Kluyveromyces lactis: one gene and its partners. The protein of the gene in region 4 binds, or shares a complex with, the protein of the main gene of each other region. Links are inferred from orthologs where the notes say so. Each region holds a gene or a part of one and is shown on either strand. Other genes may lie near its edges. The genes, in order: RPA49, RPC17, RPC53 and RPB5.

What was found.
Region 1: RPB5 (region 4) and RPA49 share a complex: the UniProt entries of both Saccharomyces cerevisiae proteins name them as parts of the RNA polymerase I (Pol I) complex. The link is inferred for Kluyveromyces lactis from reciprocal best matches to the Saccharomyces cerevisiae genes RPB5 and RPA49.
Region 2: RPB5 (region 4) and RPC17 share a complex: the UniProt entries of both Saccharomyces cerevisiae proteins name them as parts of the RNA polymerase III (Pol III) complex. The link is inferred for Kluyveromyces lactis from reciprocal best matches to the Saccharomyces cerevisiae genes RPB5 and RPC17.
Region 3: RPB5 (region 4) and RPC53 share a complex: the UniProt entries of both Saccharomyces cerevisiae proteins name them as parts of the RNA polymerase III (Pol III) complex. The link is inferred for Kluyveromyces lactis from reciprocal best matches to the Saccharomyces cerevisiae genes RPB5 and RPC53.

Annotation. Positions count from the first base shown.
Region 1 is NC_006039.1:266,123-273,978, forward strand, and holds RPA49 (DNA-directed RNA polymerase I subunit RPA49), read right to left. Parts: upstream 2,088-7,856; coding exon 849-2,087; downstream 1-848. Other genes in the region: MPA43 (Mpa43p), read right to left, coding at 1-633; JJJ3 (Jjj3p), read left to right, coding at 2,547-3,035; KLLA0_C03003g (uncharacterized protein), read right to left, coding at 3,193-5,157; CRS1 (cysteine--tRNA ligase), read left to right, coding at 5,671-7,856. UniProt on the Saccharomyces cerevisiae protein: DNA-dependent RNA polymerases catalyze the transcription of DNA into RNA using the four ribonucleoside triphosphates as substrates. Component of RNA polymerase I (Pol I) which synthesizes ribosomal RNA precursors.
Region 2 is NC_006042.1:2,112,008-2,119,095, reverse strand, and holds RPC17 (DNA-directed RNA polymerase III subunit RPC17), read left to right. Parts: upstream 1-3,875; coding exon 3,876-4,343; downstream 4,344-7,088. Other genes in the region: KLLA0_F22792g (uncharacterized protein), read right to left, coding at 1-313; CRH1 (transglycosylase), read left to right, coding at 2,166-3,566; VTC4 (Vtc4p), read left to right, coding at 4,571-6,760. UniProt on the Saccharomyces cerevisiae protein: DNA-dependent RNA polymerase catalyzes the transcription of DNA into RNA using the four ribonucleoside triphosphates as substrates. Specific peripheric component of RNA polymerase III which synthesizes small RNAs, such as 5S rRNA and tRNAs.
Region 3 is NC_006039.1:1,430,592-1,438,558, forward strand, and holds RPC53 (DNA-directed RNA polymerase III subunit C53), read right to left. Parts: upstream 4,071-7,967; coding exon 2,856-4,070; downstream 1-2,855. Other genes in the region: autophagy protein ATG9, read right to left, coding at 1-2,441; rRNA-processing protein SAS10, read left to right, coding at 4,474-6,312; MutS family protein MSH5, read right to left, coding at 6,410-7,967. UniProt on the Saccharomyces cerevisiae protein: DNA-dependent RNA polymerase catalyzes the transcription of DNA into RNA using the four ribonucleoside triphosphates as substrates. Specific peripheric component of RNA polymerase III which synthesizes small RNAs, such as 5S rRNA and tRNAs.
Region 4 is NC_006042.1:1,965,866-1,973,181, reverse strand, and holds RPB5 (DNA-directed RNA polymerase core subunit RPB5), read right to left. Parts: upstream 3,605-7,316; coding exon 2,957-3,604; downstream 1-2,956. Other genes in the region: KLLA0_F21164g (uncharacterized protein), read left to right, coding at 1-164; U4/U6-U5 snRNP complex subunit SPP381, read left to right, coding at 556-1,344; RIB7 (2,5-diamino-6-(ribosylamino)-4(3H)-pyrimidinone 5'-phosphate reductase), read left to right, coding at 1,937-2,695; DUF1 (Duf1p), read right to left, coding at 4,146-6,809; MHF1 (Mhf1p), read left to right, coding at 7,242-7,316. UniProt on the Saccharomyces cerevisiae protein: DNA-dependent RNA polymerases catalyze the transcription of DNA into RNA using the four ribonucleoside triphosphates as substrates.

The DNA of each region.
Region 1 (7,856 bases), on a different chromosome or scaffold from region 4:
TAACTGTAGATGCTCGTAGAATTCCTTACTCCAACCAAATAGCTCACCATCATGTCCAATACCATTTGAATTTGGTTCTTGAACTGGCATTAATTCCTTATGACCTAACTTGAGAGAAATTTTCCACAATAGCCATATATGCAAATCGAGAACTGTCAGCCCATCGTCTTTGTATAATTTGTTCAAGTGCAACAATTTCGGGATTGCCATTTCAGGGAAAAATTTCCCGCCGAAGTGGCATAAGATTGATTCGTCTGTAATATTGTTGAGATATTCCGTCTCCTCTATAGCTGCTGAATGCATCCAAAAAATGATATCGTGATATCTACCGTTCTTGTCATGAATCAAATTGAAGGGAATTAAGTTCTCATCTTTCTGTTTCCCAACCACCATCGAACAAGTTGCTCCTACACCCAATGAACAAATGTTGTACTCCTGGATATATAAAGTATTGAATGCTTTTTCTACAGCAGTTAAAATATCAGAGGTACATTGGGTAATGATCCCATTTCCATGCCTAAAATAAGGGACTTTTTCTTTCGTTTCCTTGACTAGGCTATCAGTATAATAATCAAAAATACCTATTCTAAACTCGGTAGATCCCAGATCGACACCTATCCCAACATCTTGCATATCCACAGGTTCTATATATGATGTTTAAGTTCTAATTTCTCGATTATACCATCACTTTCTGTATTCTTTTAGTTGATCATTATAAGATGAAGGTTGATAATACGAGATGAATAATTCTTTTTCTTTATATAGTAAAATAGATTTCTGAAGAAGTGTAGATCAATTGCAAAAAAGTATTATACAAACGCATGTTCTACTTAAATCATAGGGATAAGCTACCTTCTTGGCCCTTTACCTCTTCTAATCATTTCTGGTAGCTTGAATGGTACCTTCAAAGTTGCTATTTTATACGTTGAGGCAGAAGACTTTGGAATGCCAAAGGCTTCAGCTTGAGCTACAGTAGCACCCTTAACGGTAGCACCTAAGATTTTGAAGAGACTGACAAGCTTGGAAGGCTTTAAGTTTAGTTGTTGAGCTAAAGGTGGGACTTCAACAATGAAGTTATCCAAATGCATAATAATTACCAAAATATAACATAGCAATTTGTCCTCCCTCTGTGGATCGATAAAGAATGACTTATCTTTTGATCTACCAAATTGACCAGGTCTAGAGATGGTAAACCTTTCCAAAATGCCATTTAATAGGGCATCTGGAGGGTTGTTTATTCTTTCCAATAATTTTGTCTTGTTGTTAACTCTTCTGTTATCGTACACCCCAGCCAAAAGTGATAAATAATATAGTAATTGCAATTTTTGCATTTGTGCTGCTTGTGTTAGAGTTGGCAACTTGTTAGCCACATATTGAAATTTAGTGTATGGGAAATATTCTAGCCTCTTTTCTGGGTCTTGCTCTTTCATGATACTGCCAACGCGAATAAATGACCATTCCTTTTTGGGTATTATGTTGTATAAAGGATAAATTTGTTCCACATCTGTTGCGTCTAAATCAGCCAACGGAGTTGGTCTATCAGAAGATACAGTTTCTTGCAGTTCTTCCTTTGAAGGCAGTTCTTTCGAAGCAGTCTTCACTGTGTCTACAATATCTATCGCAGAATCAACCAATTTGTCTGAATCAATACGGTTTCTTTCCATATCAGCAATGGCCTTCTTTGCCTTCTTAGTACCGAACGCCTCACCTAAAGCGTTTCTCATCAATGCAGCACGGACGTTAGCCTGTTTAATGTCAGGTCCCATTAGGTTCTTTCTAGATTTGGAAAGAACCTTGCTGGATACCAGTGGTGCCTTGTACAATTCTACAGACTTCGTGGCGGCATCATAAACACCAACAACATACTGAGAAGAATTAACAAAATCATCGTCAGTCTGACCTTCATATTCTAGTCTATCGTTTTCACCATGTAACACGTATTTGTCGCTGTTCTTCTTGTTCTTATATAGCTCGAAGGTGGTATCTTTTGGTGCCTGGAAGCCCTTAAAGAAGCTACTTACAGCAACAGATGGTTCATCATGATAAGCTGAAACACCAACCTCAGTGAATGCACGTTTGGAACCCATCTCCACACTCTTAGTTACTACACAGTCAGCTTATTTCGGACCTTGGGATACCTTTCAATGATGTACTAATTTCCCAATATAGTTTGTGATCGATGCTTTACATCTCATCTCATCGCATATCCAAAAATTTTTCGATCAAGGAAAAAGAAACAAGAGTCATGTGACCGAACCATTGGATTATTGAGTTGGAAAGACGAAACTTCGACCGTTTGCCAGATTAATAAATGCCTTTTATAGTACCTCGTTACACCAAGCTTAGTCAGGACGCCTTACTTTTTCTGCTGCATGTTAAACCTGCTTTTTCATAGATTTCTGTGTTGTATTTCGTTCAATGCTCTGTTAGAGGCGATGAGGTTAGCTTTTGATATTTCATTGAAATGTTGACAGACATCAACAAAAAGCTATGTCAGCACTTATACCAAGTTGAGTGGTTCTGTAGCAGAACATCCAGTTATCATAATGCAACGATCCTTCTATGAAATTTTGGGCATTGAAAGCGATGCCAGTAATATCGAAATTAAAAGAGCTTATAGGGCCATGTTACTGGAAACACATCCTGATAAATCTGGATTGAATTATAATTCCAACGGAAACAATACATCTAGTCATTCTGTTACTGATATCCAGGAAGCTTACCAGACCCTCATTGATCAGGATTTGAGGAAAAAATATGATGAGGAACTTGCTGAATCGTTCAAGAAACTTGGCTTTCACAATGCAGGTGATGGTCTAGATCTTTTCTCTCTAGATCTGTTCGATTACAGCGGAGATGAACAATCTTTTTCGATGAATTGTCCCAGGTGTCAAATAACTGATGGGTTCCAATTAACCGAAGATGCTTTGGAAGAACATGCGATAGATTATGAGGGAGGTGGATATTTCGTATTGGTGCAATGTTCGGCTTGTTCACTATGGTTGAAAGTCTTATTTGACGTTATGGAAGAGTGATGTGACATATCAATTATGTTTTCACAATTAAAACCTGAAGAACTTCCTTATATTGTATCTATTGTGTCATGAAAAATTCACACTATTTACAGGTATGTTTCTTTACTTATGCATACTAAGAGCCACGTCAAAAAGCATACTGAATGTATCTAGATTTTTACGGTTCTTTCTCCGTATTTGTTTGCTCAGCGTCCAATATGGAAATGAAGGCTTTAGAGATAGCTTCAAAGTCTGTCATGAGGCTTACATGTGGCATTTCGCTAGCTATCTTTGCTACAATAGGAAAGCCGCATTTTTCTGGAAGTAACCACTTGTGATGTACAACACCGTCACCAGGTCCGTAATAAAAGTCTTGATACAGTCCTTTCTTTATCTCCTCCCGATTTTTAACCTTGGCACCTCTGACCGTCGGAACCCTATCACCATATACTATTGCTAGCGGCGGATATGTCTTTTCAGAATCGTGTTCTAGTTGATCTAAGAAACGCTTAGTCTTTGGAAGAATCCTTTTCAGATAGTTATAAGAGTCCTCAAATGAAGTGATAAAATCGTTTTCAGTCTCGTCTTTCAAAAGATTGCTCGATGATTTGATCATTTTGACTGGTGATAAGATTGCCAACTTTAAGGAGTCTTTAACCTTGTCTATTTTTGATGTGCTTTCTCTTTCTTTACTTACTAACGGAGAAAGACCGTATTCCTTCCACACATTCGGATCAAAGAAATCAAGATCATATCTTTCATAGGTATCTTTATTGATAAAACATCTACCATCATGCGGCAAAAAATAAAAACTGCTTCTCATAAAGAAATTACTCTCTGCGTTCAATATGCTTTTGTTTAGTATAACTTCATCACCAAATCTTAAGGGACCTAAAATATTAGGACACTGACTCGGAGCCCCTACATAAATTATTCCTCTTATCAAGTGCGTATAATCTTGTAAAACTTTATGTGCCAGAAGACCACCCATCGAGTGCGCAATTAAGAAAGTTCCTTTTTTTATCGTTTGTTTATCATAAAGTTCTTGGAGCTTATCCTTTAATTGTGTTGCCGTAATATCTAAAGATAATCTCCAATCGTATCCAAAGTCTTCTACATTAACGTTTGGATTCATCTTTAAGCGTCGTATTAGTTTCCTTGCAACATCTATTGGCCCGATATGGGTCAACATACCATCGGGAATTATGGTTTCTGTTGCACGAAGTTCATCATCTTCTTTTGGGCCTAATAAAAGGTTGATCTTCCTAATATTAAAACCAGCCTTTATTGGTATCCACACACGTTTCATAGTTTCAGCATTTCTCAATATACTACCACGATAGCCTCCTAAAATTACAACATCCCCTTCCAACTCGTCCCAAACAGTTTCAAGCCGTGAGACTGAATACCCATCTTCTGTGATTTCTTCAGGATCTATATTGGAAAAACTTCTAATTGCGTTTATTAAGGTTTCAGGTTTTAGAGCATGTTTCACTGCTTTTGATCTTACGTTTTGAATTCCTTTATTATTAGCAAACAGAAAGCGCTCCTCGATAGATGTAATAGATTCTTGACGCTTTAATTTCAACTTAATTTGATTTCTATCTAATTTTCTGTTTTCTTTATCATCTGAGCTGGTTGTTGGTTCAGTAACTCCATCGTTGCTTATTTGCTCATTGGACAAGAAAGCTCTAATTGATGTCAATGGAGATACTGGCAAAAGATTTTTACCCCCGAATGGAAGACTGAAGGTAAAAATCTTATGTGATGGCTTCGTATCAAATGAACTTATCTCAGATTCATCACTCTCGACATCTTTTGATACTTTTTCCTGCGCATCTAGTTTCTTTGGTTTAGATTCAACAAGGTCGGGACTTGCCAATAAATTACTGAAGTCTTCTTTCCTTGATTCGCCCTCGTTACTTTCTTCCTCATCTTCATAAAGGGATTTAGCACCGGTGCTTTTCCGTCGTTGGGTATTCACTCTTGAAATAACCGCAGATCCACCAATAAAGGAGCTTGCCTCTTCTGCATAAAGGTCCTTCGGGGATTCATAGCTTGTGACAGAGTTTACGTCAAGCTGACTTTGAGCGGCCTCTTCACGTTCTAGATCAGAATCAGTAGATAATTGATCTACAGGCATCTCGTTGTGATTTGATTTGACCAGGACTTTCCTTTTCAATATTTGCTGCCGAGCGTACCATCTGATTGGAAGTTGCTTTAATTAGTTGTCGATTTCCTTAAATATTTTTTGTCACAGATAACTGTCAACAAGATAGAATAGGATGGATTCAAAGCCCTAATTCTTCAAGTTATGAAAAATGTACCATTGTTGCACCGTAAGAAGAACTGAACGTCTTATTTGTAGAACTTAATCGATTTTCCCATTTTGATGTTAATCGACGTCTCCCATTGCCTTTATTTGTTCATGTGACCTAGATTCAACATCAAAATTTTCCTTTAGCTCATTCCAGAAAATTTAATGGATTTTAAAACCTTCACCTTCGTAGAGCTAAGTAAATGATAACATTAATTTGCCGAAAAATCTCTCTATTATTATTTACTGTGCTCCTGAATCCAAGTCTAGGTTTAACTACTATATCTTTGATATATTTTTGCTGCGCTAAGTACTGCTTCCGGCTTGTCTCAGTAGTATATGCTTGCTAGAAAAAGATTAGCTATAATTGAAGCCATCAGGAAAGTAAGAACAATGTCCGCCCCAAAAGTGGTTCAGCCAAAATGGTTCAAGCCAGAGCAACAAAAACCCCTACCAGTGCTAAAATTGTACAATACCCTTACTAGAAATAAGGAAGAATTTGTAACCCATTCTAATTCGAAGTGTGTTACTTGGTATTCTTGTGGACCAACTGTTTATGATGCTTCACATATGGGTCATGCCAGAAACTACGTCTCAATTGATATAAACAGAAGAATTCTTCAGGATTATTTCGGTTACGATATCAATTTTGTACAAAATGTTACTGATATTGACGACAAAATTATTATTAGAGCCAGACAGAACTTTTTGTTCGAAGAATATGTTAAAAGAAATGACAATAAAGTAACCGAAGATACTGTTGAAGAAGTCAAAATATCTTTGTTTGAGTTCGTCGAAAAGAATTTAAATCAGAAATTTTCCACCGTTGAGGAATATGAATCTTGGTTTAGCGGATTAGATTTAGAGAAGGAGAAAGTAGAAAATCCAAAGTTCTCTATGTATTCAACATCCGTTTCAAACGCGATTGAAAGTCTTAAAAGTAAGGGTGATAATTTCTTTGAACTGGCGAAGGACGTGTTAGTACCTTTGTTGGATAAAAAATTTGGTTCAACCTTGAATGACCCTGATATTTTCCGTAAGCTTCCAGCTTATTGGGAACAAAGATATGATCAAGATATGGCTGCATTGAATGTGCTTCCTCCAACTGTTACCACTAGAGTTTCTGAATACGTCCCGGAGATTGTCCAATTTGTCGAGACTATTATTAGTAATGGTTATGCTTATGCTACTTCCGACGGTTCAGTTTACTTTGATACTGCAAAATTCGATTCAAGTGAGGGGCATGAGTATGCGAAATGTCAGCCTTGGAATAAGGGTCAACTTGACTTGATTCAAGACGGTGAAGGTTCATTATCTGATTTTTCTGCCAAAAATGGTAAAAGATCTGCCAATGATTTCGCTCTTTGGAAAGCATCTAAACCAGGAGAACCAGAATGGCCTTCTCCTTGGGGTAAAGGAAGACCCGGCTGGCACATCGAATGTTCTGTTATGGCCAGTGATATACATGGTTCTGTAATAGATATCCACACAGGCGGTATTGATCTAGCTTTCCCTCATCACGATAATGAATTGGCACAATCCGAAGCCTGCTATGATAACCATCAGTGGATTAATTACTTCCTTCATACAGGTCATTTACATATTGAAGGGCAAAAAATGTCAAAATCATTGAAGAATTTTATTACCATTGAAGAAGCTCTAAACAAATACAGCGCTCGTCAGTTAAGACTTGCATTTGCTTCTGTGCAATGGAACAATCAATTAGATTTCAAGGATTCGTTATTAAACGAAGTGAAATCTCTTGAATCTTCATTTACTAATTTCTTCAAAAATATAAGGGCTTTGAATAATGACTACAAGCATTCCTTGGGTTTAGGAAAGATTGTTAGCAAAAAATTGTCAAATGAAGAGAAGGCTTTACTCAACGTTTTGAAATCAACTCAGGAAAAAGTTCATGCTTCCTTTTGTGATAACCTATCTACACCACAGGTATTGAAACATCTTAATGAACTTTTGACTAAATCTAACAGTTACATTGCGAACATTAGCTCTGAACTAAAAATTGAACCGCTATTGGCAATTACCAGATATATAAGTAAGATTCTCGGTGTCATCGGATTTCAATTACGTTCTGATGGCTTAGGTTGGTTGGACGATTCATCTTCTGATTCTTCCCCCGACGTTTCAAAGGAAGACATCGCTCTACCTTATGTCAGATGCCTCTCTTATTTCAGAGATGAAGTTCGTCAATTGGCAATGAATAAAGCACCTTCATCGCAGTTTTTACAAGCTACGGATAGACTTAGAGATGAAGAATTAGTCGCACTAAATGTTGCAGTAGATGACAGACAAGGTCAAGCATCTCTTGTCAAATTTTTGACTGATAAAGAGAAAGATGAAATCATGAAAATCAATGAGGAAAAACTTCAAAAAGAAGCTGAAAAACAGTCAAAAAAGCTTGAGCAATTAAGACTTCAGGAGGCTAAAAAGCAGGAGAGACTTGAGAAGGCAAAAATTTCCCCTCAAGATATGTTTAAGAATGACCTATATTCCGAATGGGATGA
Region 2 (7,088 bases), about 150 kb from region 4:
CTTTCTCGTTATCAGTAGATTCGCCTTTTTCAACAGCCCTAATCTCATTGTACAAAACACCAAATACGTATGGGGTATCATCGTATTCATCCATTTCACTGGCCAACGCCCTGTACATTACGTTACTCTTACTGCATGGATGCTTTTCTTTGTACAAAAGAACGAAATTCTTGATGAACTCCTGCTTATCATCCTTCTTTAGTTCATTCCATTTTTTATAACATCTCATCGGCGTAGCATGAAAGTTTCTGTTCTGTATCAATGCAAATCTTCCTATGGCTTGTCTAGCTGCAAACATCTTTATTAGCGTCATTACTTTCTTTCTAGTTAAAACCCCTTCTATAGTTCGTAGCAATCTCTTGAATCACTATATATTCTGCTTTGGTCAATACTTCGGAACAATGTTGGCTTGTCTGAGATAGATCTATTTCACCAAAAACGATCCAGTTATTTATTTATTATATACCCACGCCACAGAATGCGATGCGCTTTCTTTCCCCTGCCTGATCTTTCTTCATATAGCTTTTTGCTGCAAATTGGTGCGTAGATGTATGCAAAATAAAAGTCGTAGCCAAATTATGCACACCGTCGGAAAGTAACAATGAACCCGATGTAAGTTCTGGTACTTTTGTTAGGAAGTGTGAACAGGTTTAATACGATAGAATGATAGGGTATGATTAAGTACTAGCAATGTGAAGGCATCTAAGGGGTTTGATATTGTGTGTGTGTCTATGAATATTATCAGGGAGAAAGGAAGAGGAGATGCCCTGAGAAAACGCCGCTGAATACCATGTGTGAGGGTAGTCAGACACTTTGGTGCAGGGCAGTTCCACATTCAAACATCGCAAAGTACTATGCCATCTTAGTATAGGGGTTATTACACATCGTTGTGGCCGATGAAACCCAGGTTCGATTCCTGGAGGTGGCAGTTACAATTGAATTTATCTTACAAACAAACTTTTCAACGGTTTCGTGGTCTAGTCGGTTATGGCATCTGCTTAACACGCAGAACGTCCCCAGTTCGATCCTGGGCGAAATCAAATGAGAACGATATTTGGAAGATCGATTCTATTGTTTTTTTTAGTATTCTCAACATACAAGTAAAAACCTGGGCCTCCGCCTCGCTTGGGTGGACATAGAAATTTTAGCACCACTATCGGCCAATAAATAAAATAATCAGTAGTCGTCTGGGTGTTAAAGCACGTTGCACATGACTTGAGTTTTCAGTATACTATAGAGGAATATAACAACTATCACGAAATTGGTTGTGTGGCCGAGCGGTCTAAGGCGCCTGATTCAAGATACCTATCTTAACCAACCTTACAGTTGGGAACACTCAGGTATCGTAAGATGCAAGAGTTCGAATCTCTTCGCAACCATTATTTTTAATTTCAATTTTGAACTATTTTTAGAATTGATATTTTCTTTTCTATGCAGCATTGAAACAGAATTACTACACCTAGTAAAAACTACGGCATATATCACCTAGTGCTGCTCCCTCCCACCAACACACATGCGAGCTCATTTGTGTGACACACTTTTCAACTTCCATGTTGATTTCTATTTCTGGTTCTATTTCTATTCTTAATTGCAAAACCAAGCATCAAAACCAGCACGATTTCTCATTCTCTAGGAACTGTACTGTGTCTTCTCGAAATTTTTCATCAGTTTTTCTAATTTTATTCCTCGAACGGGTAAAGTAAAGGTTAGAAAACCCAAAAAGAGTAGGAAAAAGCCACCAAAGTGACAGTACAAGCCAAGAACAACGAAAAATAATATGGCAGGTATATAGTAAATGGAGAAGTTGCCGGTGATCATGAAGATGAACAGACAGACTTGCATCAAAGCCACGAATTTTTTCAGTCAATTTATTTTTGGTAGCGCATTCAAATAGTGGGAAATTTTCAAAGTTTCCCACCGGTACATATGTTTCTGTGGGATTTGGTTGGTTCAAATGTTTTTGACCTTCATTTTCCCGTTCAAATACATCGGATTGAACCCTGGGCATCAACGTGAAACCAACTTGAAATACGCGAACACCTCTTGTATATATAAAAGAGCTAGTATTACAATATTGATTGGGGTTAGACATTCTTTTTACGTGCGTCATCTTGGAACAAATCAATTTGGCAAGAATCACATCCCAAAGGTAACAGCAGACGAAAATGAAGTTAACCTATACCTTGAGTGCATTGGGCCTTGGGGCGTCAGTTGCCTACGCTCAATCAACAGCATGTAATCCTTTGACTGCCAGCACATGTTCACCAGATCCTGCTTTGGGTAAATCCATCTCTGTACCATTTGATGAGGAATCTTCATATTTTGAAAGATATGCCACGAACGGTAATGTTTCTTATGGTGATGATGGTGTTGAAATGACTATTAATAAGAGATTGGATAATCCAAGTTTGGTTTCAGAATTTTATATTATGTTTGGTAAAGTTCAAGCGATTGCCAAGGCTGCCGGTGGTCAAGGTATTATTTCCTCATTCTATTTGCAAAGTGATGATCTTGATGAAATTGATATCGAATGGACTGGTACTGATACTACTCAAGTTCAATCCAATTTCTTCTCCAAGGGTGAAACTACTACATTTGACCGTGGTGCTTTCCATTCGGTGGACGATCCTCAAGGTTCTTACCACAATTATACCATTGATTGGACTAAGGATGAAATCAATATCTATGTCGACAGTGCACTGGTAAGGACTATCACCAGTGACAATGGTCAAGGATACCCAGAGTCTCCAATGCGTATTTTCACAGGTATTTGGGCTGGTGGTGATTCCCAAAACGAGCCCGGAACCATTGAATGGGCAGGTGGTTTGACCGATTATACCAAAGCTCCATTCAGCATGTATTTGAAAGACGTTATCGTTGTTGATTACTCCACTGGTACAGAATACTCATACTCAGGCACCGATGGTACTTGGGAATCTATTGAAGCTAATGATGGTGAGGTGTATGGTAGATATGATCAAGGAGTAGCAGATTTCGATAAGTTAGCTTCTGGTGGAAGCGTATCAGACGACACTTCATCTTCATCCTCCTCATCCTCCACATCTTCATCTTCAACCAAGACAAGTGCATCTCCATCTACATCCAAATCTTCATCCACTTCCTCATCCTCATCTTCATCCTCATCCTCATCCGCATCATCATCATCCTCATCCTTATCCTCATCCTCCCCCACTACGACTTCTAAATCTAGTACCACAATTCCAACTACTTCCACTGAAAGCACCTTGAACACAACTAGTGCTTCATCTACCAGTGCTTCATCATCCAGTATTACTGCATTGAACACAACATCTTCCTCCACTTCCCTATCATCTTCTTCAACTCAGTTGAATACAACTGAATCTCTAATAACTTCCACGGAAGAACTTGTGACCACAGGTTTCTCATCTTTGGTCACTACCACCGCTGCTGACGAAGAGATCACATCGTATGCCACTGGCGAGACAAGCTCATCAGCTGCTTTAACATCCACACAGTCAGAAAACGCTGCTGCTTTCAATTTACCGCAATTGCTTGCTATCATTCCAGCACTTCTACTTCTCTAATAAATAGTCATTTTGTAATATAAACTAACCTCGTTGAATTTTAATAGGTGCATCTTAATCGCTATGGTACCAGCATCAGCCATGCAACTGGTATGCACAAAGCAGGATACGTATACCCTGAGCACTTGTTTCGTTCATCTAAATCATGATACACGGGATTATTTTTCACCGCTTCGAATATATTGAAAGCCATGCAAAGAGAAGAGATGAGCTGAGTTGAGATCAAAGAGTAGCAAGTAATAAAGACTGTATCGGCCTATACTGAATTATCCAAGTAAAAAGCTTCTCATATAACAAAATTCCAAGAAAATGCGCGTGCTTGAGGAAAAAAACGCTTTTATGAGCGACTACGAAACTTTGCAGTTCCTCATATCATTACAGAATCAACACCGATGGACCTCTGGATCAAAATCAGACAGGAAACACAACAAACCATACTACCATCCAGAACTGCAAACGATAACCAGAGACACGGTAAGGTACATAACACAGCGTTCCACTACAGCAGAAGACCCAGAAGAACCAGAAACGTCGGACAAGACCGTACCCAATAACGCCAACAAATCCACACTGCTGAACCTAACTACAGACCAATTCTCAACACTAATGCAAGAATTAAATGCTTTCCCACTATACAAAGCAGAAAAACTACAAATAGTGAACCAATTACCAACAAACTTGGTCCATTTGTATAGCATAGTCGAAGAGTGCGAATCAAGACTTGACGAAGGTCAGGTGACCTCGCTTCTCGAATGCATCTCCCGCACGTGCCTCTAATTATTATACACCATAATACAATATCTATAATGTTTAAATGCTTGGAGAAAAAAATCACATATAACAGACCGAAATACAATGAGAAAAAAGATCAGGAACATGAGTTTCAATGTTTCCAAGTGACAGTATAAGGGAAAAAAGGGATACCCTAGAATAAAGTAGTTATCAGGGCTTCTGAGTGGGTTAGACTTGCATCAGGACCTTTGAAATAGCTGATACTGATAACGATGGTAAAATTTGGTGAACATTTGAAGCGATCTTTGATTCGTGAGTACAGTTATTACTATATCAGTTACAATGACTTGAAGACGGAGTTACAGGAATCCTTGGAAGCTAACAACGGAAAATGGAACGAGGATTTGGAGACTCAGTTTTTGGAGTCCTTGGAAATTGAATTGGATAAAGTGTACACTTTTTGCAAAGTGAAGCATAACGAGGTAGTGCGTCGTATCAAGCAAGCCCAGGAACAAGTTTCTGTCGCTGTGCGTTCTTTGGATACAAATGTTCCGGTTACAGATTTGGATTTCCAAATCTTAGAAGAAGAATTGTCTGATATCATTGCTGATGTGCATGATTTGGCCAAGTTTGCCAGGTTAAACTACACCGGTTTGCAAAAAATTATTAAGAAGCATGATAAGAATACCAATTTCATCTTGAAACCTATTTTCCAAGTCAGAATGGATGCCAAACCGTTCTTTAAAGAAAATTACGATGAATTGGTGGTGAAACTTTCACAACTTTACGATATCGTTAGAACCAGGGGTAATCCTGTAAAGGGTGATTCTGCTGCTGGTGGGAAACAACAAAATTTCGTTAGACAAACTACAAAGTATTGGGTTCATCCAGATAATATTACAGAGTTGAAATTGATCATCCTAAAGCATTTGCCGGTTCTTGTTTTCAACACTAACAAAGAGTTTGAAAAAGAAGACAGTGCCATTACCTCTATTTATTACGATAACGAGGACCTTGATCTATACTACGGTCGTTTGAGGAAGGATGAAGGTGCTGAGGCGCATAGATTGAGATGGTACGGTGGTATGAGCTCTGACACAATTTTCGTCGAACGAAAGACACATAGAGAAGATTGGACTGGTGAAAAATCGGTCAAAGCTCGTTTCGCATTGAAGGAAAAGTACGTTAATGATTTCTTGCATGGGAAGTATACTGTAGAACAAGCGTTCGCCAAGATGCGTAGAGAGGGGAAGAAATCAATCCAAGAAATTGAGAATCTAGAGGCGTTGGCTACAGAAACACAGTATACAATGCTCAAGAAGAAACTAAGACCAGTGGCCAGAAGTTTCTATAACAGAACTGCTTTCCAATTGCCTGGTGATGCCCGCGTGCGTATTTCTTTAGATACTGAATTGTCCATGGTAAGGGAGGATAACTTTGATGGTCATGACAGAACCAACGGTAACTGGAGAAGAATGGATATTGGTGTAGATTGGCCATTCAATCAGTTGCCTGAAAAAGACATTTGTAGATTCCCTTACGCTGTTTTGGAAGTCAAACTACAAACTCAAATGGGTCAAGAGCCTCCAGAATGGGTCAGAGAATTAGTGGGCTCGCATTTAGTTGAACCTGTGCCTAAGTTTTCTAAATTCATTCACGGTGTCGCGTCACTTCTCAACGACAGAGTCAGTTCTATTCCATTTTGGCTACCTCAAATGGATGTTGATATCAGGAAACCCGCCATCCCAACTCACATCAATATCACAAGACCTGGAAGAGATGATGAAGACGAATATGAGGACACTGAAGATGAAGAGTTGGCTGCTCCAGGGAACTCCTACGATATCGAAGAAGCAGCTGGAGAAGCCGGTACCGCACCTGCTGGACAATCCTCTACTGGGAACTATGGTTCTATAACTCAAGATTCAGCTCGCGCTGGGAACACAGCGGATTCTCCAGCCGCTAGTGAAAATTCCGCAGCTCTTCTGCGCAATATCAGACAAGCTTCTAATCCAGTGGCCAAATATTGGCACACATTAGTGTACCAAATAGATCACTACCTCTACGGCGACCAAGTTTCTAAGGTTCCCGAAGGTACTGTCTTTGATACATACGTCCATGCCCCACCGGGGAAAACCATATGTGTGCCGGTGCGTGTGGAACCAAAAGTGTATTTTGCCACTGAAAGAACTTTACTTTCATGGATATCTATCGGACTTGTTTTGGGCGGTGTGTCCACAAGTTTCTTAACTTATGGTACGCCAACCACAATGGTCGCCTCTACTGGTTTCTTCTTGACTGCACTCTTCACCATCTGGTTTAGTACCTACACGTACTGTAAACGTGTTGTCAATATCAGAATGAAGCGCTCCATCGATTACGAGGATAAGTACGGTCCTCGTATGATCTGTGCATTCTTGATGGCCTCCATCTTGTTTACCTTCTTCTGCAATCTTGTATGAATAACGTGCGCATCTGACACCATATAGACTCATTTAGTATTTTTCCATAACTGTTAATTAGTACCCTAAAATTTGACTTTAATCATTTTAATATAAAGGAGCAGTAAGACAATTCACTCTTCAGTGAACGGTTTGCATGACTGCCAGACCTTAAATAACACTTTGCACCATAATATTGCCATCTTTCCCCTCCACTTCTTTATTTCTTCAATCTTCTAAGTGTCAAAGAATTCGTAGTGTTTACATTTTCAACTGTGAGTTTTTGTCATATCAACAAAGACCAAAATTCAAACAAACAAATGGTCAAGCTGGGACCTGCATGGATTAT
Region 3 (7,967 bases), on a different chromosome or scaffold from region 4:
ATTGGAGAAGCTGGTAGCTGATTTTTGCCCACTGCATTGCCTGCATTCTTGTAATCGTCAACGAAGTACATATATGACTGAAGCATTTTGTTAACACCCTCATCCGATTCGGTTTCACTATCATCCTGTTCTGCTTGGGAAAACATTCTCTTAGTTTGTTTTTTGGCCTTGGTACCTTTGTCAATTTTAGTAGCTTCAAACATTGCGTACTTACACACGTATCCCAACCCCTCCTCATAGACGGTACATTCTCTAAAAAAATCTATTATTCTTTCTGAATTCTTTGGCAGGGAGAACCATAATATGAAGGGAGTGATTATAATGCTGACTAGTTCCCTTAGTAATAATGTGATTCTCAAGTTGTAAAGCCTACAAAACTCATTTTTGATGTCCTCTGTATGATATTTCCCCTTCCATTCCTTTGGAGCGTAGTGTGTATACGACACAAGTTCCTCCAGTGTTTCCTCTGGTTTGAGAACCGTATACTCATCGTTGATAGAACTGTGACAAACTGCCCATAAAGTACCAAAAACAGTCATGTAAAATAAAACAGTTCTGTCAGGTGTAATTTCGAAGTTTAAGAAATTGTCTGGATCAAATATTGTCAGAATACCCAAGATTGCCACAAAAGAACCGGAAACAAACTGTATAAAGCTTAAGGTCAAGCTTAATAATGTATTGGGAAATTGATTGACATAATTGTCCGCTATTATCATGCTCAATCTCATTCTTTTTTGGAAAATATGATATAATTCATTGTATTCCCTAAATTTCCATTCAGCAATAGGAGTATATTGCCGAGAACCTATTGATCCTGGGGAGGTTTTGTACTCATTAAAATATCTGAAGAAGTTCAATAGAACAAAGTATGTTACTAAGAATGGGGATAAGATAATGTTCAAGAATCCAGCAAGAACAAACCTCTTCTTTAACTCCTCTCCCAGGTATTCTCTCTGGCTTTCTCTTAAGAAAGCTTGCTTTAAATAGCCCTTCTCATTGAATGCAAAACCTAAAATACAAAGATTTATGTTCCATTCGAGCGTCTTGGTAAGAGCACATGTTCTTAGTAGAGGTACTGGTAGGGATAAGTCAAGAATATTGTTATCATATAGTGCAATGACAAAATTCTCTTTGCGCATAATTCGATTAGCCACGTCATGCGCACTCAACCTGTTTTTTGCTTTGACTTCGGTAGCATTTGCTGTGATCGCATTCTGATCCTTAAGTAATACTAGTTGTTGAATCACACTTTGCCATGGAATAGTTTGTAAATCTTTATCTGATATGCTTAAAAGGTAGTTGTAAAAGTTTCGGATGTCCTTCAATGCTTTCACATCAAAATACAATTGTAGAACTTTAAGCCCTATGAAGGCGTAAAATATCCATAGAAATACCTTTGCAGTTGGAGAGATCTGTGTCTTATAACATTGTTCAATATGAATTTCTTCAAAAGTATGAGACGATGACAACCTTGAATAATCTATGCAATGGCCCATGTAAGTTGAAATGAATACCACAAACAAGATTGTAGCTAGATGAATAACCTTCTCTGTGATGATACAGTAGAATCCGTTCCCTAGGTAATATTCGTACACCTGCTGCAAAAAAGTGTCTAAATTTTCGATATTTGCCCATTTCCATAAAGCTCGTTCCTTTGGACTAAGTGAAGATAAGCTGTTCTTTGAAGTGCTTGTCAAAGTAGAAATATTGTTAAATATTGGAGGAGGTTTCAAATTGAAATGAGTTGATTTACCTGGTCCTGATTGTTCTGCGACTGATGGCTTTCGGAAGAGAAAACTCTCCTCAAGATTATTCGGCCTTCCGTTATTGCGAAACATCTTTGCAGGGCTATTCCCTAACAATCTTTCGAATACCCTGCTTTCCGAAGGGTTCTTGGTTGACTTAGTTGCTCCTGTAATGGGGTTTTTACCACCTAGATTCAGTCGTTGTCTACCTATGAAAGGTATCGTTTCGTCAGATCCTCTATTACTGTCACGATTTGATAATGGCTCCTCGTCTTCGCTGCTTGAAGGCTGTCCGTATTTCGAAACAGAGCTTGCCAAGTCTTGATCGCTGAAATCCTCTTCTTCTAAGTGCACTTCATCTTCTTCTGTACCTCCCTCATCGGGCTCTGATTCCGATTGTATTGTTGCCATCCCATCAGATGCTGTATCAAATCTTATGGATTGTGGCTGTTGTATTAGCGGCTCCTCATCATTGCTGTCCTCGTTAGATGAAGATGGTTCCTGATCGGATTCTATTAGCCTCACATTACCTTCATCCTCGGCATAGTTACTAAAATCCTGTTCCGTAGGCATAGTAATATGGCTCATCTCAGCGGCATCCAAAGAGTTTTCTACAGCAGATGAGTGCACACCAAACACTCTTGATAGAAATGTGTTCTTGGATCCACCATTTACTTTATCCTGACTATCCGTCATAACTCAGACTTCCAAAATTTTATTGATCCAAACTTTTCAAGTTGATTCAATCAACTGACTAAATACCGTGAGAGGTAAGGTTATGGTTGTAGTGTCCTTTCGATTATACCTTGTTTTGTGTTTGTTGAAGTCATTTTTAAGGGAATCCTTGTATACATGAACAAGTTTTGTAATGGAGCCCTGCATATCCAAACATCAACTCGTACTTAATGACTATTCTGATTTCAGGAATTATAACCTGAAAAGGCGATGCATCTTTATTAGGTTACTATGCAGTAGCTGCTGATTGTGTTCGCAGTGGTATTTGAATCTCCCATTCTTGATGTAGTTGTCTACATTAAATTAATGTTATCATACGAATTGATTTGCTGAGCTTTTTCTTCAACTATCATGTACATGCAGAAATCTATATAATTAGATATGTGGTGTTACAATCGCTCTTCCGTCGATTTGGCCTAGTAGCTCCGCTTCTTCTCCCTCCAAATCTAGTGTAACCACGTCTTGCAAAAATGTAGACTCTGCGCCCCTGCTGATATCCATTACGACGTCCCCGATCTTGATTGACATTTTGCCGGATCGATGCATTCTAATTGAACCAACGTTTCCGATCAAAGGCTCAGGTGAATCTATTTGTGTTTCTTTGCTGTTTTTACTATTTGATTGTTCACTTCCTTCATCTACTTTTGCTTCACCATTTGGCTTTACATCTTCTTCGGTGGATTTCACTGGGGGTTGTGGCTGAAATTCAGGTAGATTTGATGGGAACTGGAAGAACATAAACTTATTTGGAACGTCGTTAATCTTGTTTAACTTTTTGTACATATGTTTATGATCCTCAAATAACAAATTTGTTTCCCTGAGAGCTTCTGCGCTGTCAACAGATTGGAAATCTTGTTGAAGTTGAAGCAAACGCAGTTTTTCTTTTAACTGCTGTTCCTTCTCGTTCACTATGTCATTTAAAGTACCATCCGATTGTTCTGGTTCTAGCTTCACAGGTCCTGGTGTTGGTTCCCTGGTCTGCAAAGTTGACATGGATTCCTGGACAACTTTCTGTAGAGAATCCACCTTTTCGTGATTGATACGAACTGCCCTGACAGGGAAAAGATTGGCCAATTGTTTAGAGGCTCTGGTCTCTTCACTCATGGCTGCATCAGTATTAGAATCCTCATCTTCATCAAACAGATCGTCAGTTTCCTTCTTGAAGTCTGCCTCTGTATACTCTTTCCCCATGTTAATTCTCTTCCCAGCTTTTGAATCTTCTGCGTCCGATCCCTCTGCTTCATCATCAGAAACAGCTTTCAAACCGCGTTGCACAAGACTGCTTTGAGAACCCTCCGTCTTAATGAATCCATTATTCCCTTTATTAGATCCTCCAGAGAAATTACCAGCTGCCAATGGGCCTGATGTGATAATTCTTGTGTTGTTTAAATACTTCGGCTGCCTCTTCTGGTTGCCCTGTGGTTTCTGTGTATATTTCTTCTTCTCAACCTGTTTATTCGGCTCTTCTACCTTCAGAACGTTAGCATCTCGTTCCTCCTTAGATTTACGAGCTACCACTTTGGGCTTAAACTTCAGCGAGGTTCCGGTTGATGGTTTCCCCTGGTTCAATCCAGGTAAACGTCCACTCATCTTTAGTTGATTCCTATCACAATTTGATGCAAATAACTTCTTGACTCAAGCGTTTAATACTGCGATTCTCGACCGTTTCTTCGTTCAACAGCAAATCCTAATATGAAAACGAAGACTAGTTACTGGATACTAACCCTTGCATTGACTATTTGCGCATCAACTTTGCTCATCTCATTGTGATCTCTTCCAGTAGTAGTGCAGCTTTCAATTTTGGTGAAAAATCTTGAAAAAGCAATGTTGGAAAATTTTGTTTAAAGTTAAAGCTCATCTCATCTCATCTCAATTCAGAGAATAGGTATAACTAAGAGAATGACAAGCTGCATAACAGGTAACTACTATCAGCCGCTGTAATCGACTGTATATTGAGTTGGACTTAAATTGTACTGGACATTGTACTTCAAATATGGCAAAGAGAGGTGCAAAGGTCTCAAAAAGAGGGTCTAATCGTAGACAAGACCAGGAAGAAGATGTTGCCTATGGCATGAATGAGGTCGATGACTTTGCAAACAAGAGAGAAAAAGTGCTACTTGAGGACGCAGGTCTTGATCAAAGGGAACCAGAAGATGATTTTGATCTTTCAGTGGATGAAGAAGAAGAAGTGATGGGAATGTCAGATGAAGATAGTGAGGATGAAAGTGAAGAAGTTGAAGATGATGAAAGTGAACAAGAAGAATTAACAGGTGAAGCTGTGTATAAGAAGGTTTTTGGTAGGAAATTAGACGTTGGTGAGAATGCAGAAGAAGAGAGTGGTACTATGCTGGACAATGAGAACGCATGGGGTGCTTCTAAGGCAGAATACTACGGTGCCGATGACTTGGACGATGAAGAGACTGCAAGAGAGATAGAAAAGGAAGCTTTGCGCCAACAGAAGAAACATTTGGAAGACCTTCATATGGAAGACTATCTTGAGGATGAAGTTGATGAAGAATGGGTAAAAGAAGCTAAGGAATTCGATTTAGGTCAATTTAAAGATCAAAAGGATCAAGAACGTCCTACTGAAATCTCCCTTAGGGATGTTCTCAACATGGACTTAGAGAGAAAGGAAGGTTTCTTGAAGACATCCTTCCCAGAATACCTTCCTTTATCAAAGGAATTCAGTAAATTATCACCCGTTTTAGACGAGCTGAAACTCAAACAAACTGAGGAGAATAATGAATTGATTCAGATCAAAATTATGGCATTATCTTCATATCTTGGAACAATTAGTTCATATTTTGCAGTTTTCTTATATGAATTACAGAATAACGAAGATTTCATTTCTATGAAAGATCATCCGGTAATGGAGCGTATTTTGGAGTGTAAAGAAATTTGGAGACAAGCTAGCGAACTACCGGACACAGAAGCAATACGCTTTGAGCAAGACTCTGACGCTGAAGAAAATATTTCGGATATTGGTGAACTTGATGAAGAACTATTACAAGAACAGGATGAACTGGACAGTGAAGCAAGTGCCAGTGACGATGAGGCAGAAGATGAGAATGAGGACGAGGAGGGTGATATGGAAAGCGAAGAAGAAGAAAACTTTGATATCGAACTTTCGAACAGAGCTGCAAACAAAGTTCAGAAAGACAGGATATTACAAGACGTTGATGACTTTGTTGAAGATGAGATTGCAGATGTTGATGTCCAAGAAAAGAAAACAAGGAAGAAGACGTTACGTTTCTACACTTCCAAAATCGATCAAAAGGCTAGTAAGAAGACTGATAGATTCAAAGGTGATGACGATATTCCCTACAAAGAAAGACTTTACGAAAGACAACAGAGGCTACTTGAAGAAGCTAGAAAACGTGGCTTGCATGATAAAAATGCGGCAGATCTTAATACGGATGATATCAACTCGGATGATGAAAAGACTGCCAAAGACATTAAACGTGATGCCGAGAATGAATATTACAAGAGCATCAGGGCTGATAGACAACACAAGAAAGATTCCCGTCTTCAAGCACACAAAGAGGTGGCGAAAGCTGCTAAGGAAGGAAAATTGGCTGAATTGGCCGAACACATTACAGAAGATGGTAAACGTGCAATCAACTATCAAATTCTAAAGAATAAGGGTCTAACACCAAGAAGGAAGAAGGACAACAGAAATTCGCGTGTCAAAAAGAGAAAGAAGTACGAAAAAGCTCAAAAGAAGCTCAAATCTGTGCGTGCTGTCTACTCTGGTGGTCAATCTGGTGCGTATGAAGGTGAAAAGACTGGTATTAAGAAGAATCTAACGAAGTCTGTGAAATTTAAAAATTAGTACTAGATGATATTTAGTGTATCTATATACTCCATGCATTAAAAAAAAACTCGCATTATTCATTCGTGTAATATTTTGCTTTCTGAGTACTCACGAATTAGCAGCTTTGTCCAGCATCCAATATTCTTTGTAGTTTTCTCCGTATTGCATGCTGTATCTTGTCAGAATGGATGGACTCAAGATCAAGATCCCATGCTACAAACTCTTTCGCAATATCCTGGTCAATTCTAAATTGGTTCAATTCTTCGATAGTTAGTTTGCTGTAGTTCTTAGCAATGTCAAATCCATCTGCTATCTGAGTTGTAAGTTCTTGTGCTCTTTGGACAATGCTCTGCCTTAAGCCACAGTTTTTGGCACAGAATATACCAAAAGAGTTCGTGGCAATTCCGGTGCTCAATTTGTACAAAAAGGTAATCATTTCATCTCTGGCATTTCCTTTATTTTCCTTTTCCATCACCTGCAATAAAATCTCGGTTTTATAGAATACTACACCATTAATTTCACTAGTAAGGATGTTTGGACTGAAAACTTCGTTATAATGAGTAGATGCGATCACTCTAGGGCAAGACGAGCTCCTTGAAAAGTCCTTTATAATTGCTCCGAACATAGATAGGCCGTCAATCACATCTGTCCCTTTACCAAACTCATCAATCAAAAGTAAGCTTCTCGGCGTTGCCAATGACAAACACTTGGACATTTGATTTGCATCAATCTCAAATGTACTCTGCGTCTTTGCTACAGATTCCCGAGTCACTACTCTGGTCAATATTTTGTCCACGAGACCAATACGTGCATTATCAGCAGGAACGAAACAACCAATATGAGCAAGAAACACTATAAGTCCGTTCTGCGTTAAAAAAACAGATTTACCAGACGCATTAGCGCCAGTAATGACAGAAATTCTTTTGAAATTATTATTCCAAGTATCATTATCAAAAGTTCCGCCAAGCATGCGAAGGTCATTGGGGATGTATGTGTCTACAAGTGTTTCATATAAGGGGTGCCGGCCGTTTTCAATTTCAATTACACATTCCTTTTCCTCAATGACAGGCTGGACATAATTTTGGCTAATGGCGGTCTTAGCAAATGAGACTAAAACCTCGAGCTCTGCGAAACATTTTCCTGACAGCAAAATTGCTGGCTTTGTATTCAAGACTGCATTTTGTAGTTCAAGTAGGATCTCCAACTCTAAATCGGATATTATTCCATGAAGGTCACCATAGTGTTCGTCCATAACTTTCGTATCATCATTCTTGTAATATATTACATTCTGTTCTCTGAAAATTTCAGTCCAGTATAGCACAGCTGGATCGAACATATCTTCTATGGATGCATCAACACATAGTAAATAACCAAGTTGTGGTAGATATATCGCATTTATCAAAGCATTTCGTCCGTTCAATTTTTTAAAAAGCTTCTCCTCATTACTCTGCAATGTTGATATTAGTGTATTGTTTGCCTCATTTGCCACAAGATTTAAAACACCTTCAAGCTCGAAGTAAGTTCCTCTTGCCTCATCTAGTTCTATACGAACTTTATCCTTTATAACAATCGCATCTTGGTTAAGGGACCCCTCCAAATCAAGAACACTTTCGGTTTTCTTTAATATCTTCAACATCATGCTTTTATCAAGGTCATTTTTTATGGTGTTAAAT
Region 4 (7,316 bases):
ACGCTAAGTCAGAAAACAGCCAGAAAGGTAGTCAGAGACATAGCGGTGAACAGCATCCTTTCGCTAATGAAGACTCCTCCGAACATGAAAATGAAAAATTCAACTTCGATGAATCTTGGGAATCTGCTAAATCTATTATCTCTAAGATACTAAACAACTATTAGTACTAGATCCTAGTTCAATTCCGAATACATTTCCTTATTTTAGACGAGTGAACAGATTTATCCATGTTCATACCGCCTTACTTTTTATAGTTCAAAATTACAGGGATCAGCAAGGTGGATTGGTTTAAATTGTAACTACTACCCCCTATATAACATACTTAATTTCTGGCAGAGCTTTTATGTTGGCATAATCCAATTTTGTCGCATTCAGAGAGAGAGATTCTATCATATATTCACGTTGGAATCATGTTTCATTTTTAGCCCTGTTTAGAATAATGATAATGATATAATAATAATATGACAATCTGAATCGAAAGTATACGTCAAAAGCTTGAGAAAGAGGGAAATAAGCGAGTGAAAGTTCAGTATTGACTACAAACAAGCAGTTGAAATGGCAATACGACACTTCAAGAAGCAAGTGCAAGAGTCTAGCGATTCTGAAAATTCGTCTTCAGACGAAAAATCTACTACAGCAAGAGATGATAATTACAGTTCGAATCCGATGAACGAATCTGAACTTCACTTAAGTACAAAAGCGAACAGCGACAGTGACAGCGGTAAAGATGGTCCAGATAGTAGTAGCAGTAGCAGTAGCAGCAGTAGTAGCAGTAGTGATGATGAGGTAACGTTACACAAGCCTGTATTTCTCAAGAGAAAGAGGAAAGATGAGCAAAATCAGCCAGAAGAGACAGGTGAGAACGGAAGTCTAGTTCGAGCTGCATATTTAGCTAAAGCTCTTCGACAGAAGCAGTATACGGAAAATATAGTAGCCTCTGAGACTTCAGATCAATCGATATTGAGTCAAATAATTGCCATTGATGACACTGATAATACTAATCCTGAACAAGAACAACTGCAATGGGAACAGAGACAACAGGCAAGGTTGAAAAGAGAAAGGCAAAAGAAGTTAGATAAGCAGTTATTAATCGAAGAACAAGAGATGCAAAGGGCATCGCAGCTCAGTAAAGTAGATGATCCTTGGCTCAAGGAATTGGACTTGAACGATGATTCCAACCTCAATTCCTTCGATTTGAAGGCATCATCACGCAATAGACATCCTGTTAATTCAAAGAAAGATATCTCTATACCTGCCCGTTTGCAGAAAGGCCAACTCCAACTAGCATCCTCCCATACCAATAACGATACTGAAGACACTGAATATGGATACATAGAAGAGTAGAAACATTTTGGAGCTACTACTGACTCACATACCAACCTTCGTTCCTACATAGCTGTAAAAGTATCTCACGTGATGCGTCATGTTTTTTTTCTTTTATTATCATCGAACATAACCAATGGAAGGAATTCCACAACAGAACAGGAACAATCATGCAACTGACTGTACCTCAAAAGATTTTAGTTTGGTATGTTTAACACAGGTGACTTCCACAATGTTGTTTCTTTTTTTTAGTTGCGGAAAGATCCCTTCAGCGGGAACGTGTTGTTTTCGAGTACCTGTGATCTATTTTGGCAAGGCAACGTTGGCTGAGTGCTAGTATTTGTGCTGTTGAAATAATATTGACTCAGAGCTTTTGAGAGTTCGTTTTAATTTATCGGACTGAGATCACTTTGAATTATCCGGAAAAGTGTTATCTCAACACAGAGTTTCATAATTCATAGATATATTTCAGTGTAAGAGTATTAAAACAACCCGAAATTGGCTTCAAGTTTTAGAAGATAAAAACTTCATTCTTTTATTTTCTGCTTAAGAACTGGGAACATCACTGCCCAATCACAACTGAACGCGTCAGCTATATACATCGACAAAAGCCATGCCTATACAACCATTGAAAAAGGAGTTGGTTTCCTTCTTAGAACCATACATGCCGGAAAATGCTGGCGTTTTGGGCGAACAGGAAAAGCCGTACGTTATTTTAACTTATGCGCAATCGTTGGATGCTCGTATTGCGAAGATCAAAGGGACTAGAACTATTATCTCTCATCAAGAAACTAATACAATGACCCATTACCTCCGTTACAAGTTTGACGGTATCATGTTGGGTTGTGGTACTGTCTTGGTTGATGATCCCGGTTTGAACTGTAAATGGTGGCCAGATGATGAGCCAAAACCAGAACATTTTGCTGAACATTCTCCAAGGCCCATAATTTTAGATCCAAACGGGAAATGGAAGTTTGAGGGTTCCAAGATGAAAACTTTGTTTGATTCTGGTGATGGTAAAGCACCAATTGTAGTCGTGAAAAAGCTTCCAGAAGTTGTAGAAGAGAACGTTGACTATTTAGTGATGCAAACTAATTTTACAGGTAAAGTGGACTGGCACGATTTGTTCATCCAATTGAAATCTCAATTCGGATTAAAATCCATCATGGTTGAAGGTGGTGGGATTGTTATCAATGATTTGCTACAGAGACCACACCTTATCGATGCCCTGGTCATCACCGTTGGTGCCACCTTCTTGGGTAGTGAGGGTGTTGAAGTGTCTCCTCTTATTGAAATTAATTTGAAAGATATCTCCTGGTGGAAGGGAACAAGGGATAGCGTGTTATGTTCACGTCTTGTGAGCCATTCCTGATCTTTACCTGTTTTCCTAAAAATTCGAATTCTTATATCAATGAACTCTCTTAATTCAGACATGCTATGTTCAAAACGTGATTAATCATTTCCTTAAATAATTGAAAAAAGAATCGTAATTAGATTATGATATCCCCTGATGGGTTCTCATACGAAGAGTGTGTTTAAGGCCCTATTAGTTTCTCTTGCTCTAATTTGGTCTATTATTATACACACGCATTTACTTTACTTAGGGTTGGGGAATGGCTCTTTTTAATTGCTCTTATAAACAGATTCTGTAACTTGCGTAACGTCCAGAAGTTTCAGACTTTCTAATAATTTTTATAACCTCGCCTCTTTTCAAACCAAGGTATAATGCTACTGGGTCCATTCTTTGGATTCTAGGCAATTGAGATTCCTTTAATCTATATCTTTTTAATAATTCCTTCTTTTCAGCCTCACTTAACCTGATATGCTTTGGGACTAGTTCGTGATGTGTAATATTGACAACCAAAGATGCTTCTGGGAAAGTCTCGATGACTGCTGGTGCTGCAGTTGGTAAAATCTTGTTTGCACTTGGAGTAATACCACTTTGATAGATGAATATACCAGTTTGGAAGTTCTTTTCCGTAATATGAACCACAAAATTCTTCATCGTCTTCACACCAACAGATGCTTCATCACAGAATTCCACCCATAATGAACCCATCTCAGGAAATTTTTCTATTGATTCTTCGGTTGGATTGGACTGGAAAGACATCATCTTACGTTGTGGCTTGCCCATAGAATCACAGTATTTAGCCTTAAAATCTTCTAAACTCAAATCTATTTCCTCCTGGGTAATGAAATATCCACGGTCCCTAACCATTTCCTTCACCGTTTTAAAAGCTCTCCATAGCCTGGAAATGTTTCTCTCCTGCTCTTGATCCATTGTTACAAAAATTGTGCGTCACTTGCCTTTGATATCTTATGAAACTAACTTTTTCCGCTTGAAGATTAGTTCGTATTAAATTCTAAAATGCACAAACAAGTACTAAGAACTCAATTATCGATATGCACAAACAAGTACTAAGAACTCAATTATCGATATGCAAACTAATCTTACCCCTTAATTTCAACCGGTACAAGGACTATTCGGCTACCTAACTTCAATCTTTTCTTAAATTTCAATCAACAAATTAATGGATTTGTTTCTCATCGCTTTCTAAATTTTGGAAAATTTTGGCTGAAAAGAAAAAGAAAAACTTCAACAAACCTTCGAAATTTCAATGCGATGAAAGAAGGAAACAGAGCCAAACCATCAAACTCGTCCTTCATGATTTCAGTCACGTGCCTGTCTTGTGTTGGTATGGAATGCTCTGAGTCAAGGGCGGCAGGTGTAGTTCTATGTTTGTATATATGTCTATATTTAGTTATATATATATATATTGATAAGCCTGGGTGAGAACTTAGTCTCACAGTCTCTCTTAATTTTAAGTCGGTTTACGTCTATATTCAAGAACAATGTCTGTGTTTGATTTCCAGTATAAAGTGCGTATAGCACTCAGGGTGATATCGTTTTCTAGTACTGTTCCTTTGCACAAGATTTCTAACCATTCGCTTGGATCTTCTTTGTTTTTCATCTCAGGTGTCTTTGATTCGAATCTATCCACTATGTAAGTCTTGATCTTTTTTGCCTTTATCATATTTGCAGCTGTTAATCTAACATTGCTATCGTTAATCTTCGGTAGCATTAAGGGTGATTCAGGTGGTTTAGATTTTTTGTGGAACCCTGATCTTTTATGTTCTACTACTAGTCTTTCAGCCTCTGGCGATTGTTGCGTTTCCTCCGATAAATGAGCCTCGTCCTTCCAAGGCTGGATGATGAATGTGATTTTTGGGTACGTCTTAATGACTTTATCCTCTTTGAAAAGAATCTTTCCAAGCCATATCGGGAGATGTCTTTCTAATGATTCATAAGTATGGTAGTTATCGATCAAGTCGTTTGCCGTATATGTAGGGGGTGGGAGATATGTGGAAAATGCAATAGTTTCCCCTGTGGACCCCTCTTTCCAATGGTTGACCGTGAGAATGCATCCACTCTTGATTTGTATCACGGGTCTAGTTGAGTCTCTGATGAACAAAGTCTCGGGGATCCGCCTCCCAAACTTCATGAACGTTGATGAGGAGTTTGGAGCCTGTTTCAAATAAGCGTGATAAACTTCTTCGATATATTCGTTCAAGAAAAGTCCTGGCTTTCGTTCAGACAGATCTTTGGAAAAACTCTTTGAATTGAATTTGAAGTTCACTTCACCATTCCCAGTAGAAGAGATACTATGAAGGTCATCGATGCTGTTAGTTTCTAGTTTTACCCTCGATGATCTGTTATGGAAACCAAATGTGCTTGAAGGTGTAGCAGATCTCTCGATACTTTGTTCAGTAACAGACCTTGTCAAAGTGAGGTTCGCCGGTTTCGATGAAGTAGGTAGAGCAGTTGCTGGGCCAGGTAACATCATTCCCATCTCATCTTCGCTTTCTTCGATTATGCCGTGATATGTATGTGGGACGTCAGGTATACCATTGGGGGTGTTGGGGGCCGAACTTTGCGGGGTAGTGTTATTTGATTGAGTGAACTTGGTAAATATAGATAATCGTCTTTTCTCCTTGATACTTTTGTTGTCTTTATGTTGATCAGGGTTCGTATGGTCAGAGGCCATTGAGTTGTGTCTTCTTAATAGATTTGGAGTAGATGGAGGAGTTTGCTTCTTTGTGGAAGAAATATCTTCTCTGAATTTCTTATCCTTCGCCAATTCATAATCAATAAAACCATGTAATAATGAATTGACAGCTATACGACCCAAATTGTATCTTTCGTCCAAATTAATTTCGTCAACTTTATCCTCGTTGACTATTACATAATCGGTGAGGGCACTTCCGTATACTTCGGTATTCAGGAAACGTTCATTGATCTTTACAAAAAGAATGCCTCGTTTTATCGAAACGGAGCACCAGTGCTGTAAGACTTCTTTGGGATTCAGTTTTCTGACCACCTCATCGAAATTACCTTCGTCTCGGCTGATTTTTTCAACCAGCTCACAAGAAACAATATCCCACTTCTCCAACTCACCGGATGTATTTTCCGTGATGACATGTCTGCGGTTTGTCAACAAAGAACACCGCACTAGTGCATGGCCACCTTCTATAACCGTGAGCTTCTTACTCAACAAGTTCAACTTGTTTAGATCCGAATTTCCTGATCTGGAGAACCACAACACATCTTCTATAATGGCCATTGCCAGAATGCCACCTGTTTTTGTGTCGCAATCGCTTGGCTTGTAGATAACAGATATCTGATTACCTTGAAGTTGCGTTATATTACCCATGCAGTCGCCAAGAAATAAATCTTTAGAAAGCGTTCCTTCTACCGACCATATTGCGTGCGACAACTGTTTGGTCCAAAGGCATTTGCCACTTTCAACATTCCAAAGTTTGATCTCTCCATCTGCGCTTGTACTAAGAACGGTTGTTTCATCATCTAAAAGCTTCAAAGTCTTTAAGTTCACACCAGCTGCGTCATCTATGGTTCTTATCACACTGTAACTATTTATATCGTACCAGCTTAAACGGCCTTCGTTATCTCCAAAGATAATGACGTCCTTCGTAGCAGTCAGGCAATAAATAGACCCTGCATCATGATGCGTGGTGTTATCGAATTTTCCAAGTAATTTAGCTTCAACGTCTTCCTCGTTCTCCACCTCAAAAAGATCCAGTTCCCAGATCTTTAGCTTCTTATCCAAACCTACCGTGGCGTATCTGCATTTCATGTCTTCTAATCCTATTAAAGCTATCCCCTTCACATAGTCAGCATGGTAGCCGACAATCTTATGGTTCCAAATAGTCGTTTTCCAGTTGTAGCAGATAGTGAAATCATGAGACACCGTTAAAAATTTGGCGGCAGATAGGCAAGCTATGCCACTGATCCAATCGCTATGCACAGCCAACTTCGTCTGAGTCTCTTCAATAACTACGTTCCCATCACGTCCAGTAGTTATCACAGTAGAATCTAAGTTTGTAATTGAGCTGATGGGCAAAAGATGCTTCGTATCAGAATCCAGTTCTAACGGAAGCAAACCGAACGACAACGTATACTTGCTCATTTGTTGAACCTATTCTTTTGCAATACCTAAAACAAGATGTCTCTATAAGTTATCAGTTTCGAGCAAAAGGATAACCTGACTCGTATTTTCACAAGCATACACCTCACTAGTGTCTCGTCAAGTAGTAATTTTCACGAAAAACGTTTGCGCCTCACTTTCTAACGCTGTTCTTTGTAATCTCCATCTTTTATTTATCTGATATCAAACATTCTGTTGTCTTCGTTATATATATGCAAATTGCCTCTATTCTGGAAACTGTTGAAAACATGAATATAATTGATATGCATTGGGAATGCGGAGATATCCAAGATATGCAAGATATACAAGATTACAATCGATTGAGCAGTTCGTTTAGAGTTTTGAGCTGGCAATTCCTGACTTGGCATTGTCCTGTGGGCTCTATTCATGGTAGCGTCGTTCAGTTGATCAAATATGGATGAAGAGAAGAGATTACGATCCCAGTTACGCGGGAAGCTGTGGTTCTATGTGGAATCGATTATCAAAAGA